Linked DNA regions of Bombyx mori. The protein of the gene in region 1 binds, or shares a complex with, the protein of each later gene. Links are inferred from orthologs where the notes say so. Each region holds a gene or a part of one and is shown on either strand. Other genes may lie near its edges.

What was found. Proteins that work in one complex are often made in the same cells at the same time.
Region 2: pre-mRNA-splicing factor CWC22 homolog (region 1) and BUD13 homolog share a complex: the UniProt entries of both Homo sapiens proteins name them as parts of the minor spliceosome. The link is inferred for Bombyx mori from reciprocal best matches to the Homo sapiens genes CWC22 and BUD13.

What each region holds. Positions count from the first base shown.
Region 1 is NC_085110.1:1,337,975-1,342,078, reverse strand, and holds the start of pre-mRNA-splicing factor CWC22 homolog, read left to right. Parts: upstream 1-1,304; 5' UTR 1,305-1,533; coding exon 1,534-2,581; intron 2,582-3,104; coding exon 3,105-3,762; intron 3,763-4,104. UniProt on the Homo sapiens protein: Required for pre-mRNA splicing as component of the spliceosome. As a component of the minor spliceosome, involved in the splicing of U12-type introns in pre-mRNAs. Promotes exon-junction complex (EJC) assembly.
Region 2 is NC_085130.1:5,568,881-5,572,835, forward strand, and holds the start of BUD13 homolog, read left to right. Parts: upstream 1-1,155; 5' UTR 1,156-1,293; coding exon 1,294-1,394; intron 1,395-1,926; coding exon 1,927-2,110; intron 2,111-2,220; coding exon 2,221-3,409; intron 3,410-3,955. UniProt on the Homo sapiens protein: Involved in pre-mRNA splicing as component of the activated spliceosome. As a component of the minor spliceosome, involved in the splicing of U12-type introns in pre-mRNAs.

The sequences.
Region 1 (4,104 bases):
ATATTAAATTGACGTCACATCTTACAATGCTGGCAGTGCTTATCGGAGCATAGCTGTAGTGTGGCTGCTTATGGCGTTGTTCTTGAAATCTTTCCGCTTTTCTTTGTGGGTGACGCATTTACGTTGTAAATGTTTTTTTTTTATGATTGAAAGATTACTGGTGGCCCGGAGGCCTTTCCAGCTTCACCAGGACAGGTGGGCGAGCAAAGGCTCAGCCAGGAGGGGTGGGATTTGCTAACAGCTACCCGAGCGCCTCCGAAGGAGACCTAACAACTCGAGAGCAATTGCTTCGCGAATGAATCTACTACCGGATCGGAATCGCGACCCACTGAGAAGATCCGGTGAGAAACTCAGCGAGCTGATGCATGGGTTAGGTTGCACGTCGACCTCTTTGTCGAGTTCGACGAGTACGGTTACCGGGGTTCCTCAGCCTGCTCCTAGTGTTAGAGCTGAAGGTATCTAATGTAAGAGTTATTGGATCTGATGGATCCGTAAGGACATGTCTAGGGCGACGACGGTGACTTGCTCCTGCGTGATCAGGATTCGGGGAGTAATCAGCGGCGGCAACGATAAGGCGATTATCATGACGTGTCTATGGGCTCCGACGACACGAGAACCCTCTCAACGTGGCCGCCGATAACTACATTGCCGATCTTGCGGACCAAATGGTAAACATTCGACGTCACCCAAAATACGTCATCTCGGATCCTCCTGATCCACTAACGGTGCTTTTAGGTACCCCAAGCACCGGTCATCGTTCTCGTCAAGCCCCTCGCTTGCGACGAAGGACTGGGTGAATAAATTAACCCACAGACACAGCCCACTGAGTTTGTCGCCAGATCTTTTCGGTGGGTCGTGTTTCCGATCCGGTGGTAGATTCTGCGCAGCACTGCTCTTGCTAGGGTTCGTGTTAGCAACATCGTCAGGTTTGAGCAACGTGAGCTCACCTACTAGCCTGGTGACGCTGATATGATCTCTCTAGAACATCAGCTTAGGTAGGAAAAAAAAATCTTTGCTGCAAACATTAGGATTATCCATTAAATTAGCACCTAACAGCGCCGAGAGTGGATAATCTAAAAAAGTTAACTGAATTTGTCCAAATACATAAACACCATTTTACTGATATTATATTTCATCTCATATCATTTCGTTTCATTTAATGTCATCTCAAATCTCAATTGATTAATGTCGCAAAAACAACTTCATTTAAATTTTTTTAAACAATACTTTACTTTATTAGGCCGTATAGTATGATACCTTCACCTTTTCAGTTGGAAAACGGAGTTACTACTACTCTACTACTACTGACATGACAGTAAAATAAAAATGTCAAAACAAAATGGCTGTTTTATTAAGGTCAAGCTGGATTTTACTTAGTGCACGTTCTACTTTTTCATCGAAATAAATTTCATGATTTTACACATAATATTGAAAATGAATAGTTTTAATAATATTGAGTTCTAGATACAGTATTAAATTCTTTTATAAAAAGTTCAATTGTAGTCTAGTAGTGTCAAAACAAAAATCATAAGAATGGAGAAGACTAACACCAAGCAGAAGAAAGATAAATACGAGGAAGATGATGAAAGGCGTAGGTCGAAAAGGTCGAGACGGGCTAGATCTAGATCTAAGTCACTTGAGGAACAGCAGAATAGGGAGTATAGAAGTAAACGCCGGCGTTCCAAATCACGCTCACCTCATTACAAGGCTAGGGAAGATAAACGAGTTAAAGACACACAAAAAGAGCCAGAAACAAAAAAAGATGCCTCTACAAAGCCAGAAAGACGCGCAAAAGATACTGATATGTTGAATACTAGAACAGGAGGTGCATACATTCCACCAGCAAGACTGAGGATGATGCAAGCGCAGATCACGGATAAGTCCTCGATAGCTTACCAAAGACTTGCCTGGGAAGCTCTCAAAAAGTCAATTCACGGTCACATCAACAAAATTAATGTCGGTAACATAGGTATCATTATAAAGGAATTATTGAAAGAAAACATTGTCAGAGGTCGAGGTTTGTTATGCCGTTCTGTTATTCAAGCCCAGGCAGCCTCGCCAACATTCACTAATGTATACGCGGCTCTAGTATCAGCAGTCAATTCACGTTTTCCTAATATCGGGGAGTTGTTACTGAAAAGATTAGTGATTCAATTCAAAAGAGGTTTTAAACGCAATGATAAGTCAATTTGCATTTCCTCTGCATCTTTCATTGCACATTTAGTGAATCAGAGAGTGGCACATGAAATTCTGGCTTTAGAACTTCTCACTTTACTAGTTGAATCACCAACAGATGATTCAGTTGAAGTTGCCATAGCATTCTTAAAGGAATGTGGCCAAAAATTGACTGAAGTATCATCTAAAGGTGTAAATGCAATTTTCGAGATGCTAAGGAACATTTTGCACGAAGGTCAGTTAGACAAAAGAGTTCAGTACATGATAGAAGTAATGTTCCAAGTTTGGAAGGATGGGTTCAAAGACCACCCGGCACTGATTGAAGAGTTGGAGCTCGTGCCTGAAGAAGAACAGTTCACACATCTATTGATGCTGGATGACGCTACAGATCCTCAAGATATCCTGAGTATGTTATATTCTATTAAACTATCCATAAAAAAATAAGCCATAAAACACTTAAGTAGATTATCTGTACAGTCTGTCAATTGAATTATTTGTTCCCCTAAGTTATTTAATAGCTATTGAGGGTATGCACAAGAGTTATTGTAACACTTAAAATGCTAAAAGTTTTGAGTGTATATAACACTCTAAACGAGTAAAGTTTTAATTTTTAATAGGATTAATCAAAAATTTTTATATATAGTTTACATAAAAATGCTTTTAGCTTATTTAAAAATGTAACTTAAACAATCTCAATTTTTTTTCATATACTTTTTGCTTTAAGTTTTAAGATAGTAGTACTCTGTGTTAGTGAATTCAATATCCATTATTTTAGCCTATTTTTATTTTCCATCGTATGTATTAACTCATTTATGCCCAACATTATTGAATGTTATAAACAATTTATCTTAATGCTCCATTTAAAACAAATGTAAAATAAGCAAATTAGTATAAAAGAATAAAAATAACAATTTTCCCAAATGCTTCAGATGTTTTCAAATTTGATGAAAAGTATGAAGAGAATGAACAGAAGTACAAGAATCTTTGCAAGGAAATACTTGGTTCTGATGCTGAGTCCGGTGATGAAGATGGTTCAGGAGAAAGCGGTAGTGAGGAATCTGATGAAGAAGATGAAGAACAACCAAAAAAAGAAATGACTATTATTGATAACACAGAAACAAACTTAGTGGCTCTGAGACGCACTATATACCTGACAATCAACTCCAGTTTAGATTTCGAAGAATGTGCTCATAAACTAATGAAGATGCAACTGAAACCAGGACAAGAAGTGGAACTATGCCACATGTTCTTAGACTGCTGTGCTGAGCAGAGAACATATGAGAAATTCTATGGCTTATTGGCCCAAAGGTTTTGCAACATCAACAGAATATACATCGGACCTTTCGAGGAAATTTTCAAAGATTCATATTCAACAGCACACAGGTTGGACACGAATAGACTCAGAAATGTCAGCAAGTTTTTCGCCCATCTGCTGTTTACAGATTCCATTAGTTGGGAATCTTTGGAATGTGTTAAATTGAACGAAGAAGACACAACTAGTTCTAGTCGGATATACATAAAGATTCTGTTTCAAGAACTGGCTGAATACATGGGACTAAAGAAACTGAATGACCGTCTACAAGATCCGTTCGTATTACTTTGTTTTGATGTTTTTTTAGTTTTATAATAATAAATAAACCCTCAATTTCAAATGGAAATATGACAAATGACAGTGGAAACTCTTTGAAAGGATAGCTCAGGGCACAGACAAGCGATTATATATTGCTGAGAGCAATGACAGTTGTTATGAGAGGTTCACAATAATGAATGTTGATTTTAACTACAATTGCTACATTGCTATGCTCATGGGTGTGATTTAATACTAGCTTTACCCTTTCTTTTGAGTTAGGAGATGGTTTCGGAACCAGTGAACAAAGTTTACGGCTTACCAAAAACTATCTTTATGGTTTAATCTTGCGAACTTTATTA
Region 2 (3,955 bases), on another chromosome or scaffold:
CAGTAGGACCAGGATTGGTTGTTTCATAGACGGGGTGTGCGTAAACAACATCAGCTACGCAGACGATATGGTGCTGCTGAGCGCGTCTATCTGTGGCCTAAGGCAACTTGTTTCTTTGTGTGAGGGATACGCCAAATCACACGGTTTGGTGTACAACTGTAAAAAGTCGGAGATCATGGTCTTTGAGACCAGGGGTGGGACGCATGATAAAATACCTCCCGTAGTACTCAACGGAACGCCATTGACAAGAGTTTATAAATTTAAATATCTCGGCCATGTGTTGACCCCTGATCTCAAAGATGATGAAGATATTGAACGAGAGCGGAGAGCGTTGTCGGTTAGAGCAAACATGATAGCTCGCAGGTTTGCACGGTGTTCACTTAAAGTCAAGGTCACCCTCTTTAGGGCCTACTGTACTAACTTTTACACGTGCAGCTTGTGGGCTGGATATACTCAAAGATCGTACAATGCTCTCCGTGTTCAATACAATAACGCGTTTAGGGTGCTGGTGGTGCTGCCCCGCTTTTGTAGCGCATCAGGGATGTTTGCAGACGCGCACATAGATTGTTTTTACGCTACCATGCGTAAAAGGTGTGCATCTCTGGTAAACAGAGTGAGGGCCAGCTCCAACAGTATCCTGAGCATGATCGCAAGCAGGCTGGACTGTATATACATGGGTCGCTGTGGTGCCATCTCCCATGGGATGTTACCACAGTAATTCATTGTGATGTAAATATAAATACTAACATAGGTCTAAGTCTTATTAACAATTTATATGAGTCATGGATACTTGAAATAAAAACATTATTATTATTATTATTATTATTATTAATGGTTTAATATCTGTGAAAGTGCACAAATGAAACAAAGCCGCTGGACGTAGCTTCTAGGGATCCTCCAAAAAGCCCACTAAAGAAGTCTCAGTAAATAACCACCATTTTACTGAGATTATATTTCATCCCATGTTATCTTATCTCAATTTATTTCATTTCATCTCAGTTGATTAATGTCTCAAATTAATCATCTTCATTTCATTTTATTTCATTTGACTCCCTAAATCATTTTTCATAAAAATAAGAATTTAAATATAAAATAAGACATGACCCAAAAGTCTTAGTTACCAGGACATAAAATCCCTTTAAAAAAAGTGTATTATGGCTTTGAAACATTTGAAAGAATGTTGATTTGTGACATTTGTGTTTGTCTAAATTGATACCATAGATAATACACATAATAATATAAAGTTCGTCAAATTAATTTTCTAAATTAAATAATTTGAAATTTTATTTAATAATGGCTACGACTGTAAACCAGAAAGCGTACTTGCAAAAATACCTGGCTGGTCCATCGGGCGATAAAAAGAAAAAGAAAAAAAAAGTGCTAAAAGGAAAAGGGTAAGTCAACTGTAGACAATGTGAACAATAATTGAAATTAAACGTGAAAGAATTTACTATTTCTAAAAAAAATACCTTAAATATCTACCGTTTTGATATTTACAATTGTATTTTGGCATTATATTAAAGTGCTGTCGTCACACTAAAATGCATTTTAAAATTGAAAAAAAAATCATGTACATTTTCACGTATTCTCCTTACAAGTTATTGTATTTTAAGTAAGTATTGATTATTTGTATAATGAAATACATAACAAATGCGAATTAATTTCAAATTTCTTATTCCTGTCAATATTTTCATTCAGTATGGATGAATTTTTTGGTTGCTTAAGCATGTTGTTCTAATAAGGTTCGAACAGTACATTAACTATATCATCACTCTCGGCTCATCTTCCTTCAAAGACGCAAACGTCAGTTCCAAATAAAGAACAAAAAAAAATTCTTTCATTAGTGAAAGATACAGATGACAAATAACCTTACCTGTTGAAACACTAAAGTGAATATAAAAAATGTATTTTCTCATCTAATTTTAGGTTCAAAATAATAGACGATGACATTGACCTATCGAAGCTACGACCCCTTGAGGGTGACGAGTTAGATGTGTATGATGAAGGTGATGACGCACCGCAAGTAGCAGGTATCATCGATGAAAGACCAGAGCATATAAAAAAACAGGAACAATTCACCACTAGTTCTAAATGGAAGATCGTGAATCAGGTACACATGTTTATTACTTTATTTTTACTGTCAAGCCTTCAACATATTAAAAAACCATTCTAATAGAAATCTTATTCATCGATTATAACAGACACCGAAAATCGTTACAGGATGACGGATTCAACAGCAAACTACAAATTGAAGAGATAAAGAAAGATGTAAAGGAAACCGAGAAAGAAAACGAATTGGTCTTTGGAAAAATGTACAGTGATTCCGAAGATGATAAGCCAAATGTTTCAGAAGCTTCGCCGTCTGGAAGAGCTAAAAGCAAAAAAAAACACAACAGTGACAGCGACTTCAGCCCACCAAGAAGAGGGAATCCAGTGAAAAGGAATAATTCTCCTAAAAGAACTACTGAATATGATTCTGATCTTTCACCACCTAGAAAGCATGAGGGTCAGAGAGCTGAAAAACTTAAAAAACCAAGTCGTTGGGACAATGAGAAGGATAAGTCACCAAAGTCTTTAAGAGCTAATAACCACAGAAGATCTAAGAGCTCTGATTTGTCTCCTCTAAGGAAAACCCAAATGAATAAGATTTCTTCAGGACAAGATATGAAAATTCAAAAAAGATATGATGTGACATCTCCCAGAAAATCTAGAAAAGATGATTCAAAACGAAATAGACTTAACTCAGTTTCACCTCCGAGGCGAAAAAAATCCCCAGAGAAATCTAAATTTGGTCACGATAACAGACAGAGCCAGTTAAAAAAGTATAATGATACAGATTATGGTTCGAGGTATGACAAAAGATCTAACAGATCAAATTCAGATTCTGATATGTCTCCCCCAAGAAAGAGTAAGAGACAAATCTCAGAATCTCCCTGTAGAAATGTTCCACTAAGAAAAAAAACGAATGATAGTGATTCAGATTTATCTCCTCCCCGTAAAAATATAAGATATGCAGAAAACAAGTCCTATAGGAATGTAAGCAAAAAACCTCACAGGAGGAATGACACAAAAGACAGTGGTTCGGATTTATCACCACCGCGAAAGCTTAAGAATATAGATAACTACAGAAGGCATGACTCTGAACGTAAAAGAAAAGACAGAAGTTCAAAAAGAAATAATAGCGATTCTGATCTTTCTCCTCCTAGGAAAGATAGGTCTAACAAGAATGACAGTCCCCCTCCAACCCATAAAAAAATGGAGAAGACTTTGGAAGGAAAGAAAGCAGGATTACAAGATGCCAAGCAGCTGAGGCAAGAAAACGATGACTTTAGAAAGAAAGAAGAGGAGATGTTTAAGAAAATGAAAGATGATGTTTCAGGCAGGAATGCTCAAGTTGTGTCAAGGAAAGGTTAGAATTATTAATATAAAATTTAATTTAAATAATAAAAAAAAAGAATATTACACATATCTACGGCAATCTAATTTAAAATTATAAGTAATCTTTGTTACTTAATCTTACTTTATTACTTATTCTCTATTACTTTAGTACTTAACAAATGTTCACGATTGACTTCCACCATGAAGGAATAACATCGTGTAATAAAAATCAAACCCGCAAAATTATAATTTGCGTAATCACTGGCGGTAGGACCTCTTATGAGTCCGCGCTGGTAGGTACCACCACCATCCTGCCTATTTCTGCTGTGAAGCAGTAACGCGTTTCGGTCTGAAGGGTAGGGCAGCCGTTATAACTATACTGAGACCTTAAAACTCGTATCACAAGGTGGGTAGCGCATTTGCTTGTAGATGTCTATGGGCTCCAGTTACCACTTAACTTCAGGTGGGCTGTGAGCTCGTCCACCCATCTAAGTAATAAAAAAAAGTTACATAGTTAAAGTCAAAATAAATATGTGAGCATTCATTGTTCATGGAACATATTTTTATACAAAAATTT